3 linked regions of the Ovis aries genome follow. The protein of the gene in region 3 purifies or fractionates together with the protein of the main gene of each other region. This does not show direct contact. Links are inferred from orthologs where the notes say so. Each region holds a gene or a part of one and is shown on either strand. Other genes may lie near its edges. The genes, in order: NFKB1, UBAC1 and RNF123.

The links.
Region 1: the proteins of RNF123 (region 3) and NFKB1 purify together in Homo sapiens (affinity purification with western blotting; 4 studies listed by BioGRID). This does not show direct contact. The link is inferred for Ovis aries from reciprocal best matches to the Homo sapiens genes RNF123 and NFKB1.
Region 2: the proteins of RNF123 (region 3) and UBAC1 purify together in Homo sapiens (affinity purification with mass spectrometry; 7 studies listed by BioGRID and IntAct, counting the BioPlex papers as one, with this or other methods). This does not show direct contact. The link is inferred for Ovis aries from reciprocal best matches to the Homo sapiens genes RNF123 and UBAC1.

Annotation. Positions count from the first base shown.
Region 1 is NC_056059.1:22,544,758-22,548,401, reverse strand, and holds part of NFKB1 (nuclear factor NF-kappa-B p105 subunit), read left to right. Parts: exon of another isoform or gene 1-48; coding exon 49-250; exon of another isoform or gene 251-857; coding exon 858-1,027; exon of another isoform or gene 1,028-1,347; coding exon 1,348-1,450; exon of another isoform or gene 1,451-2,183; intron 2,184-3,235; exon of another isoform or gene 3,236-3,262; coding exon 3,263-3,387; exon of another isoform or gene 3,388-3,469; intron 3,470-3,644.
Region 2 is NC_056056.1:3,450,627-3,455,053, forward strand, and holds the start of UBAC1 (ubiquitin-associated domain-containing protein 1), read left to right. Parts: upstream 1-1,560; 5' UTR 1,561-1,615; coding exon 1,616-1,753; intron 1,754-4,427.
Region 3 is NC_056072.1:50,536,605-50,540,248, reverse strand, and holds part of RNF123 (E3 ubiquitin-protein ligase RNF123), read left to right. Parts: intron 1-899; coding exon 900-1,077; intron 1,078-1,819; coding exon 1,820-1,894; intron 1,895-2,044; coding exon 2,045-2,132; intron 2,133-2,219; coding exon 2,220-2,307; intron 2,308-2,387; coding exon 2,388-2,472; intron 2,473-3,644. UniProt on the Homo sapiens protein: Catalytic subunit of the KPC complex that acts as E3 ubiquitin-protein ligase. Promotes the ubiquitination and proteasome-mediated degradation of CDKN1B which is the cyclin-dependent kinase inhibitor at the G0-G1 transition of the cell cycle.

The sequences.
Region 1 (3,644 bases), on a different chromosome or scaffold from region 3:
TCTGTGCCACTGACCAGTGTCACCTCCTGCCTCTCCTCCACTCCCTAGACACCCCTGCACTTGGCAGTGATCACCAGACAGGAAGCTGTGGTGGAGGACTTGCTGAGGGCGGGCGCTGACCTGAGCCTCCTGGACCGCTTGGGTAACTCTGTTTTGCACCTCGCTGCCAAAGAAGGACATGATAAAATTCTCGGTATTTTACTCAAGCACAAGAAGGCAGCACAACTTATTGACCACCCCAACGGGGAAGGTAAGAGACAATCACACATCGTGGTGTAACCTCTGTCTGCTTTCCAAACAATAAGTAGCTACCAGATAAATGTGCCTATTTGATCTGCACCCCAAAGTGCTTTCCTTAACCACTGGGAATTCATCGTCTCTCATGGAAATTTCCATTGCTGGCTGCAGCTAATTCCTTTAAAGATGATCTGGAATAGTTAGTAGGAGGGAAAAGCAAGACCTGAGCAAACACCATTCTGGATATGTATAAAAAGTATTAGCTGCTCAGTCATGTCTGACTATCTGCGATCCCATGGACTGTAGCCCGCCAGGCTACACATTCTCTAGGCAAGATACTGGAGTGGGTTATCATTCCTTTCTCCTGACCCAGGGATCAAACCTGGGTCTCCTGCATTGCAGGCAGATTCTTTACCACCAGGGAAGCCCCCTCAATATGTAGAAAGCATCCTTTATTCAGAGAATGTTTATGTGCTCTCATTGTCTCTAGAACACAAAAGGAGTCTGGGGTTTACATGCAGGACAGCTGACTTACAGCACCTATAAAGACTGGAGTAGAGACCCATGCTGACCCCCAACAGCCTTGCCTCCCCGTGACCATCCCTATGCTTGGGCCGTAGGTCTGAATGCCATACATGTAGCCATGATGAGCAACAGCTTGCCGTGTCTGCTGCTGCTGATGGCTGCGGGGGCCGACGTCAACGCCCAGGAGCGGAAGTCGGGGCGCACGGCCCTACACCTGGCTGTGGAGCATGACAACATCTCCTTGGCTGGCTGCCTGCTCCTGGAGGTGAGGGATGCACTTACCTGCCTTCTCATTCAATTCCCAAGGGTATCTGGGAAAATCTTTTCAAAGAACAACTTGGCTAACAGCTCATCTCCCTACCGTCGGCTCTACCTGTGTAGTATCTACTGGAGGCTTCAGAATAGCCGCTCAGGCCCTCCAGTATTCCCCTGCCCGGCATCTCTGAGGATCTCTGCACTGGCAGAGCCTGCCTAGAATACAGCTGGGCCTGTAGCATGACCTGGAGAGCCACGCATGCAGGGGAGGTGGGGACAGAAGGGCGAGAGGACCTTGAGCTAACCGTTTTCTGTGTGGGCGGATTTTAGGGTGATGCCCACGTGGACAGCACCACTTATGACGGAACTACACCCCTGCACATAGCAGCCGGGAGAGGGTCCACCAGGCTGGCGGCTCTTCTCAAAGCAGCAGGTAAGGCAGCCTGGTAGTCAGCCCTAGAGAATGTCATCAGGAAGGCAAACCCAGACTGCTAGAGCAGCCAGGCCGCCTCCTTAACCTACGGACGTGCTGCAGAAAGGCACAAATAAATAAAAGTGGCTGCAAATCCCACTTAGCAGCCATGAAGGCTCTGTTTGTATTAGTAACCCTGGGTGCCATGCTGATGGTCATGTTAGTTTTTACTCACCTGTTTTGGATTTGGATTAAGTTGAGTCCCATGACAGGAGATCCTAAGGTTGAACTGAATTCCTTGTAGAATTTGGAGCAGTATCAACCTTAAGGTCCCATCACAGGTCCTCAGAAGGAAGCGTTTATTGGTATAATAAAGCACTTGAAGACTTCCATTTGTAAGAAAGGTCTCTGAGAAGCCAAAATGATAGGGACAAACACATGGGCCGTGTGTCAAGTGCTGTCATGTACCAAACCCTAAAAACTGCTAGCTTCTGTTGGGCTAGGTATTTCACACTGTCTCATTTAATCTTACTTAATCTGCAGTGACCCTTTGAGACACATCCCATTACTATTCCCATTTTATAGCCAAGGAAACAGACTGGTGAGACTTTTGCATCCCAGTTCCTGGACCCCAGTAAGGGGCAGAGCTTGAGTCACATCTTGTCACCTTGAACTTCCAGACTCTTCTCTCTCTGTTTCTCTCCCCTGCTTGGCTCAAGGATGTAGAGTGTTATTCCAATTCAACCCTTTCATCCTGTGAGATAAAGGAAAATTATTCCTGCTCATCTTTGAATCTCCACTGCCTTCTACATTTAGAACCTCAAAAATGTTTAATTGTAATTGGTATCTCAAGCCTGTCCTGGCATATTTGATTTACTTACAAGGTTATTGTTTTTAGAAAATAAATGCCTCACCAATTCAAGAAAATAGCAGATTAAATACCTTCTTTAAAAAAAACACAACTGAGACTAGGAAAAATATAAGAACCTTTTCTTTGGCACCGTATTTTTCTGACATCATATCCCAAATAAGCAGCCTTCTCTTTTCTCCTTCATCAAGCTGAACATTCCCATGAACAAGAGACGGTGATTGTAGTGTTTATGGTTAGTTTGGGGAGTCACTGGTTATGATAATAAAATGCCTTCAGACTAGAAGCTATGACCTTTCAATAACTACACATCCTACCAGAAGGTCTTCTTGGTGCTTTGCATTTAAGGATCAGTGCCATAACCCAGGAATAAAACACAACAGGTTGGCACTAGACAGAAAGCAGCTTTGCTCTTTTGAGCAAACAGGTGAAGACACAGAAACACGAGGTGCCAGGCATCAAGTTGAACACATGGGGCCTTAAGCCTAAGGGTGTGCCCTTGTTGTTTAGTCGCTAAGTCATGTCCAACTCTTTGTGACCTCACGGACTGTAACCCACCAGGCTCCTCTGTCCGTGGGATTTCCCAGGCAAGAACACTGGAGTTGGCTGCCATTTCTTCTCCAGGGGGTCTTCCCGACCCAGGGTTGGAACCTTGTCTCCTGAGCCACCAGGTAGCCCCTATAAACCACCGTCCTCAGTCCTCAGGTTAAAGGTGCATCGCTCACAACTATCCTATGGGGTCAAATGTGAGCGTCAGTCCAAGTCTGTGTTTTTGACAGTATCCGTGGCTATACAGAGCTATCATTGGTCACCTTTACAGTCAAGATATATTAGAATTTAAAGGCAGGTTTCTGGATATTTTAGTGGAAATGTATTTTATATATTCATAGAATCTGACCCCTGTGGGAAGTGAGGAGCCGAGAAGATGTGGGTTTTACCTAATGCTGTGTGACTTGGCTCCACAGGAGCAGATCCCCTGGTGGAGAACTTCGAGCCTCTGTACGACCTGGATGACTCCTGGGATGAGGATGGAGAGGATGAAGGGGTCGTACCAGGAACCACTCCTCTGGACATGGCCTCCAGCTGGCAGGTGAGCCCCGCTCCACCAGCGTGTTGGCTGCCTCGGAGGCGGCAAGTGGTCTTCCTCAGTCTTTATTCCCCAAAGCCCGCACCTGGTATTTTTAAAAGACAGGCTGCTTGTCACGAGCTGTATTTATCTTGAAAAGCCTATCCGCTAAAGATCTAGGTCAGCAGAGTTCTGAACATAAAAGCGTATGCCTAATCAGATCAGAGTTAGATGAGAGAAACTCAGAATTCACAAAGCGTGTTGCCCATTCTGAACTCAGA
Region 2 (4,427 bases), on a different chromosome or scaffold from region 3:
GTGTCCCCCACTTTGCCTCCTCAGCCCCCTGATGCCGCCGTGTCCCATAAGCTCCCCTGGGGCTAACCCCAAGCCCTGCTGCCCCCCCCGCCCCCCGCTGTCTCCTGTCTCGTGAGGCCATGTTTGCACAATAGATGACACTGGCAGTTCCTGCGTGAGAAAGCCCGTTCCCAGGGCGATAGTTTGGTCTCAAGCCCTAGTCCTGACCAGACCCCAGAGAAGGGTCTGGCTCATGGAGGCTATCGGTAAATGCTAAACTGAATAAAAGGAATTCACACACGAGCAGAATGATCACAGGGGAACAGAACCTGTGTATTAAACGGGAGACATGCCGGGACCACCTCCCCATTTAGATCACCAGCCTCCGAGAAAAGGGACGGTGTTGGATTCATCTCTGCTCAGCAAAGGTCCTTGAATGGATGAGATGCGAGAGTGCAGGTCAGTCACTTGCTCCAGGTCTAGCCTGAACTGCAGAGTGGATACTGATATCCGTTACCCCCACAGAAATGAGTGTGCTGAGTCTGCGGGTCATGTTTCTTCCCTGCGGTGCTCACGCACCGTCTGAAGGCACCTCTATGGCTGCGCAGCCTGAGTGCTGGGCCCCACCCCAGAGTCCCTGACGGGGGCATAGGGGCAGGGCAGGAGAAAGTGCACTTCTAACAAGCTCCCAGGTGCTGCTGGTCTGGGAACCACACGCAGAGAGACTCTGCTTTAGTGCAATGCAGTCCAAAGAACACAACAGCAGCCACATAGACAACCTAAAATCTAGCAGCCACAGCTTTAAAAAGTAAAAATAAGCAGTGCCAACATATTTTATATAGCCCATTCTATTCCAACACGCAGTCAGCACACAGCGCTTCCCCGGTGGCTCAGCTGGTAAAGAATCCTCCTGCGATGCGGGAGACCTGAGTTCCATCCCTGGGCTGGGAAGATCCCCTGGAGAAGGGAAAGGCTGCCCACTCCAGTATTCTGGCCTGGAGAATTCCATGGACCCTATAGTCCATGGGGTCGCAAGGAGTTGGACACGACTGAGCGACTTTCACCAACTCACTGTCAATATATAAACATTGTTGAGGTATTTTTCGTGCTCTTTTCCTGCCAGCTGTTTAAGATTCAGTGTGCATTTTACACTGAGACCCATCGCAAAACAGACTCGCAAATGCACGGCTCCCGCGTGGCCGGCGGCCCCGGCTAGCACAGCGCGGGCAGGTGCTGGACGAAGGAAGCGGCCCCGAGAACTACAACTCCCGGCGTGCTCGGGGAGCGACCAGTGACGCACTTCTGGCGCGGCGGCGACGGGGACGGCGAGGCAGCCGCAGGAAAACTACATCTCCCGGCGTGCTCCGGGTCATGCCCTGTGACGCACTTCCGGCGCGGCGGCGACAGCGCGCCCCCGGTGGCTCAGCGGCGGGGCGAGGGCGACTGCTCGGGCGGGCGGGCAGTGGGGCGAGTGGCGGGCGGCCTGCCGACGGGAGAGCCGGGGGCGGGGCGGCGGCGGCCAGCGAGGGAGCGCGCGGGCGGCCTGGCCCCGCCCCCGGCCCGCCCGCCCCGGTGACCTTCAGGGACCGGGCGGCGGGCGCAGGCCCCAGGCCCGGGCGAAGGCGGCGGCGGCGAGATGTTCGTGCAGGAGGAGAAGATCTTTGCGGGCAAGGTGCTGCGGCTGCACGTCTGCGCGTTCGACGGCGCCGAGTGGCTGGAGGAGGCGACCGAGGACACCTCGGTGGAGAAGCTCAAGGAGCGCTGCCTCAAGCACGTAAGGCCGGCCGCGGCTCCAGGCTTCCCTCTTTCTCCCGCCGCCCACTGGACCGTGGGGCTCCGGACCGGGCGCTTTATCCTCTACCTTCTGGTCCAGCTTCCCTCAAGACAGCCTGGGGGGCCGGGGCGCATCGGGGACGCGGGCTGGGAGAGGCCAAGTCGCCGCCGGAACGGGGCCTCCTGCGGTTCCAGAATCCATCCATCCGCGCTTGCTGTCGCGGCGAGGTTCCCGGAGCTGGGAGTTAGTGCCCACGAAGGTAGAGAGAGACCCGCTGGGAGAAGCGCCTTCCCCTGACCTTGCAGAGCCGGCTGCTTGGAGCCGTTTCCTGGGGCTGGCATGGGGGCCGGCGCCTGGCTCTGGCCACTGGTGCGCCCCCGCACCCCCTCACCGTGGCTGGAATCACTTAAAATAGTGTGGCTTGGCCGAACTGGTCCATGCACCCCTTGCTGTCCTCGGCCTTTACGTGGATTACACGGGCAGGTCGGGGAGAGGGCCGTTTTCTAAAGTTTGTTCACGTGAAGCACCCCTTGTAGGTTCCTCAGAGTTCTAGTCTTTGTCTGTCTCTTTAAGCTGCTCGACTCTGTAAGGCAGGCCAAGACATCTGTCCGTGTGACTCAGGCTGCCTCAGGAAACTCTATCCTTTGCACGATCTAGTATCTCCATGTCAGAATTTAGGACAAAGGAGGCCACAGCCTCTTACTGCTCATTTCACAAAAAAAGTGTGCCTGTATGCCAGTGACTCGCACGTTTGTTCTGGGCCCACCAAGAGTCTAGCCCTGGCTCTTTCTTTTAGTGTGGTCTCCAAGGACAGACTTGCAGCTATTGTTTAGTGACTCCCGCAAAATGCTGTCGGGTCCTTTTGGGAGTCTGGTTCTGTGGAGTTGTGTAATTGTTGCAAGCAGGCCGGAGAGCATTCTGGTTGCCAGAGTCCCCTTCCGGAAAACCCTGGATGTGAATAGCGTCTTGGTCTCACGTCAGGGAGGAGGGGGATGTGGGCTCGCACACTTGGGCAGCGATGTTTTGGCCGTTTCTGTTTCTGATGCAGTGATGGGTGATTTCACTAAAAACCGCCACGACAGCGCTCAGCGGGAAGGCTGGGAGCCCCCTGAGCGTCCAGGCTATTAGCGCGAGGCTCACTGCTTGCCCAGTGCAAACCTCTCTGAGATGCTGTGTCTACCCGGTCAGCACAGGAGCCCCTTGAGGGCTGGAATACCTTAATTAAAAAATAATGCCACTGGAAAAATGGTACCAGTGGACTTGTTGGACACACGGTTGCCACAGACCTTCAGTTTGTGAAAAGCCCAGTATCCGGGAAGCAAAATAAAGCCAGGACGCAACCAGACAGGGCATGCCTGTGAACGGAACCAGACTGTCAGTTGAGAGAGCTGCGTGGCGGTGGTGGCCTGTCACCTGCTGAGTCAGGCTGGGGGGTCAGCGGGTACGTTGGTGTGGCACTTAGTCTAACTCACCAATGGGAAGGATTGGCATAACCATCAAAATGCTATGTTCTGGAGGGAAAACGAAGCAAGAACTCTTAGATTCATGGAGGCTTGCTAAGGATTTCAGGAGCACCTGGGGTTAATGAGGGAGCCAGTTTCATTACGCTAACTATTCACATTATGCTGCCGATATTTTTATTCCAGTCGGTACTGAGGCGTATCATTTGGGATGTTTTCTGGCGTTATCCTGCTTTGAACAGAGATCTTATTCCACCCTGTAGATTTTATTCCAGGCCGAGGTGAGTGGCGGGCGAGCAGCAGGGGTCTTCCACAACCAAAAACTACTGGCATACATTTTGGGACTCAGAGCTGAGCTGTTAGGAGGTCCTCACACCTCTGTGCCTGTGCCTTCCTGGGGGCAGAGTTCGCGGCCTTGTGAGCCCTCAGGAGGCATTTCCAGTTAGGAAACGGGGTTCTCGAGTTATGTGCTTGACCATCACCCCGGAAACCTATGCACTGAGCTTAGATCGTGGTGCCACTGCTCAGCTAGGGCTCCTCCTGCCTGGCTCCCCGTCCTGCGTGCCCAAGCTGGGGTTCTCTGTGCCTCCCTCCTGCCCCTCTACCCGGAGGGGACACTGGGTTTCCTCCCATCACAGGACCTCTGGGAACTTACTGGGTTTTTTTACACTTTCTGTTATGCATATACGTTTTTAAATGAATAAAGCAGCTTTGTTAGTGAAGGTTTATTATCGTGACTTTTGTAGAAATGGATTGCCACTGTGGCCTTTCCCTTCTTGGTTTTGTATCGATTGGGACCACCGTGGTTATATCACGGGGCAGAGTAAGTCATCTTGTGTAACCGGAGGGTCACGATCTTAAGACAGTGGCCCCCTGTGGCGTGCTGGGTGTTTTCTGTGTGATAAGCTCACCAGCTCGCAGCCTGCTAGCAGGGCACCACACCAAGGCGTGTCTTCACATGACACTGATGTCAAGGGGAAGAAAGGCCGTCTCCAGTCCTCTGGGAAGAAGCGGGCTCGCTGGGGTCCTGCCCCAGCCATGGGCTCGGGCTGGCTTTCCCACTGCTAGGGCCCAGCTCACTCCAGCACCGCTGCTGGGAACAAAGGAAAGCGTGAATAAGCAGGCGCAGTGTGGGTGACTCACGCTTGAGTTCTGCTCCCGGCGCCTGTTGACAGGCTGCAGAGGACAGTTTTTTTTTCAGGAGCCAGTGTGCG
Region 3 (3,644 bases):
TCAATTCTTCAGCGCTCAGCCTTCTTCACAATCCAACTCTCACATCCATACATGACCACAGGAAAAACCATAGCCTTGACTAGACGGACCTTAATCGGCAAAGTAATGTCTCTGCTTTTGAATATGCTGTCTAGGTTGATCATAGCTTTTCTTCCAAGGAGTAAGCGTCTTTTAATTTCATGGCTGCAGTCACCATCTGCAGTGATTTTGGAGCCCAAAAAAATAAAGTCTGACACTGTTTCCACTGTTTCTCCATCTATTTCCCATTAACCCCTTAGCACATTACAGTTGACAAATATTTTCTCCCATTCTGTGGGTTGTCTTACTGCTCTGTTGATTGTGTTCTTTGATGCACATTTAAAAGTTTTAAAAATATTAATTTGTTTGGCTGCACTGGGTCTTAGTTGAGGCACGTGGACTCTTTAGTTGGGAGCACAGAGTCTTAGCCACTGGACCACCAGGGAAGTCCCTCGCCCCCATGGCCCCTCTGTGCCTCCACACTCCCAGCAGTCCAGCCCTTTGCTGTCCTGGACTTGGCCATGGCCATAGCTTCCTCGCAGCCTCATCCCCACTTGCCCCTGCAGCCACTTCTGCTCTGGGCAGCTTCTGATCACAAGGCACCCTGTCACTTAAGGCCTTGCGTACCTTAAAACAGTGCAGACAGGCTTCTGGCCGGGGCTGTAGCGCTGCCTTGCCAGGCTGGTGGCCTGTCCTGCCTGCCCAGCAGTGCTTGATCACACCTACCTGAGCTCCTCTCCCGCTTCCTGGAGTCTAGCCCTTACGTCGTGCTCCTGGGAGAGTTTTCCTCATCCCCCAACTGGGCTGCACCCCATGTCACTCCCTCGCCTCCTGCTCTACAGCAGCCTGGCAGTACCTGTCCGCCCCACCTCCCCCCGCAGGAGAAGATGCAGGACATTTACTGGCTGCTTCGAGTCTGCCTGCGGACCATCGAGCACGGCGACCGCACGGGTTCTCTCTTTGCCTTCATGCCCGAGTTCTACCTGAGCGTGGCCATCAACAGCTACAGCGCCCTCAAGAATTACTTCGGCCCCGTGCATAGCATGGAGGAGCTCCCAGGTGATGGGGCCATTCAGGCTGGGAGGGGGCAGAAAAGCGGGCCTTCACAAAGCGAGCCCCAGGAGCCCTGTTCTGAGCCCCCACGACCCAGAAGCATACATCCCACACGGGCTCAGACAGCATCACACAAGCGTCTGCACAAGTCCCACTTGGCGGAGAGCCCTGTCCTAGGACCAGCAGCCACAGACCTAACAGCTGCCCCCTGCGTGAGGAGGAGAGCAGACAGATGGAGTAGAGGGCGTGAGGGCCCCGCCCCGCCCCACCCCGCCAGGACTGTCACTTCCTTCTTGGTGCTGCTGTGGCCCAGGAGCCAGCCGGCCTCTCACCCTCCGCCCTGGCACTGACCATGGGGTGTGGCATCCCACGCAGGGGCAGGTGGGCTTGCAGATCACAGCAAGGAGCGGGGCCCCTGCTGGTGGCCACAAGGAGCAGGGGCTTCTCGCAGACCCTGGATTCCAGGATGGGCTTGGGTGGATTAGGCTGTGGGCTTTTAGGCTCCTGGCCTGTCCCCTGCCCTGCCCTCGGCCTCAGGGCCTGCCCAGCCCCCTTCCTGAGTCTGTGCCTTAGTCTCTGCCCAACCATTAATGAACGTACTGCCAAAAGTCCCCAGATGGCAGCTTGGGCCCAGACTGGCCCTTGTAGCTGGCTCTGGAGCCTGCTCCCCAAGCCCACCCACCAAGAGATGTGCCTGCCGCTGGTGTCCGCACTCCCCACCAGCTCATCCTGTCACCCCAACGTGTAGGCTACGAGGAGACCCTGACCCGTCTGGCCGCCATCCTTGCCAAACACTTCGCAGACACACGCATCGTGGGCACTGGTGAGGCACTGGACAGACGGCTCGAGGGGATGGGCACGGGGTGGCACCCCGGGCTGGCCATTTTCTGCACAGATTGCCGCCCAGGTGGGGGTAAGACATGGGCACCAGGATCATGCCAGGCACTTGGTGAGGTGTGGCCTGTCCTGGCAGACATCCGGGACTCACTGATGCAGGCCCTGGCCAGCTACGTGTGCTATCCCAACTCCCTGCGGGCCGTGGAGCGGATCCCTGAGGAGCAGTGAGTGGGGGTCCGGGGGCAGGGGCAGGCATGCTGCCCTGCACAGCACGAGCCTCACCCCGGGCCCACCACCCATTGCTCTCGCAGGCGCATCGCCATGGTGAGGAACCTCCTGGCTCCCTATGAGCAACGGCCCTGGGCCCAGACCAACTGGATCCTGGTTCGGCTCTGGCGGGTAAGGCTGGCTGGAGGGGAAGTGGCTATGGCTGGAGGGGTTTCCCTGCCCCACTGACCTCCTGCCGTCTCTACCCCCAGGGCTGTGGGTTCGGGTACCGCTATACGCGGCTGCCACACCTGCTAAAAACCAAACCTGAGGATGCCAATCTGCCCAGCCTCCAGAGTGAGTACCCAGGTCTGGCAGGCAGGGGGCCCTCACCCGCTGCTCTGAGGTTCTCACAGACTTCCCTGCTTCTTCCAGCCCCAGTCCTGGGCTCGTGGTGGGCCCCAAACTTCCTGTCCATCCCCCAGGGTTTCCATTCTCTCCTTCCTCCAATCCGAGGACACTCTGGGACTATCTCTGCAGCCCCATGGGTGCTGGCAGCTCACACACCGAGTGCACCCTGTCCGTTGTCCTCTGACCCAGCTCCCTGACCTCCAGCCGTGTCCCAACTCCCATCTCCTCTGCCCCTTTACTTCCACCTGGTGGTCCTGGATCTTGGATGCCTGAGTCAAGGCAGGGGCATAGACTAGGGGCTGGCCAGGGCCCCAGAGGGTGTCCATGGTGTTGCCTGGAGGAAGGGGCCATTTATTGGGAGCAAAGTATTCACTGTCCTGTGAGCCCGAGGACCTTCATTGGGCCCAGCCCAGAGTCTTGGGTGGTCTAGCTTGCAGAGCCTACCTCCCCCACGCTGTACCTGCCCCACAGTGGCTCGCTTTAGCCCACGGGGTGTTTCTGCCCTTGTGGGCAGTGTTTGGGCCTAATGGGGTCCCCAGAGACCAAGGGCCTTGTGGCAAGTCCTTGCCAGTTGCCTTGGTCCTGGCTCTAGGGTGGACCTGAGCTGCCCGTGGAGAGCAGGGGGGCAGATCCGTGTCCTGCTGCTGACGGAACTATTGATTTGCTTGGGGGAGGGCTGGCCAGCCCGGGTGCGGCTGAGGGCTCTGGTTACTGCTGCGTGTCAGCCCAGACTTGGCGCCCACCACCTCAGCCATCTGCCAAGGCCACGCCAAGGGCAGCAGAGGATGGGAGAATGGCAAGGCTCGAAGTAGGCTCTTGGGGAGGATGGCCTTGACATGAGTGGAGATGGCTCTGGGCCGCCCTGTCTGTCTAGCACACCCTGAAGGGCAGGTGACTGTGGACTTGCTGGTGCTTGGGGGCCATTCCAGAACTCGGGGTGGGTTGGGGGTTGGGAACAATGGCAGCCTGTGGTTGGCCCAGCAGAGGGAGGGGACAGGTTTAGCCCTAACCCCTGCTAGCCCTGCACGCTGTGCCCAGAGGTTCCCAGAGAGCCGTCTCTCTGCGCTTAACCAGCAGCCCCGTAAGGGAGGACAGAGGCGGGCAGGCGGGGCCACTGA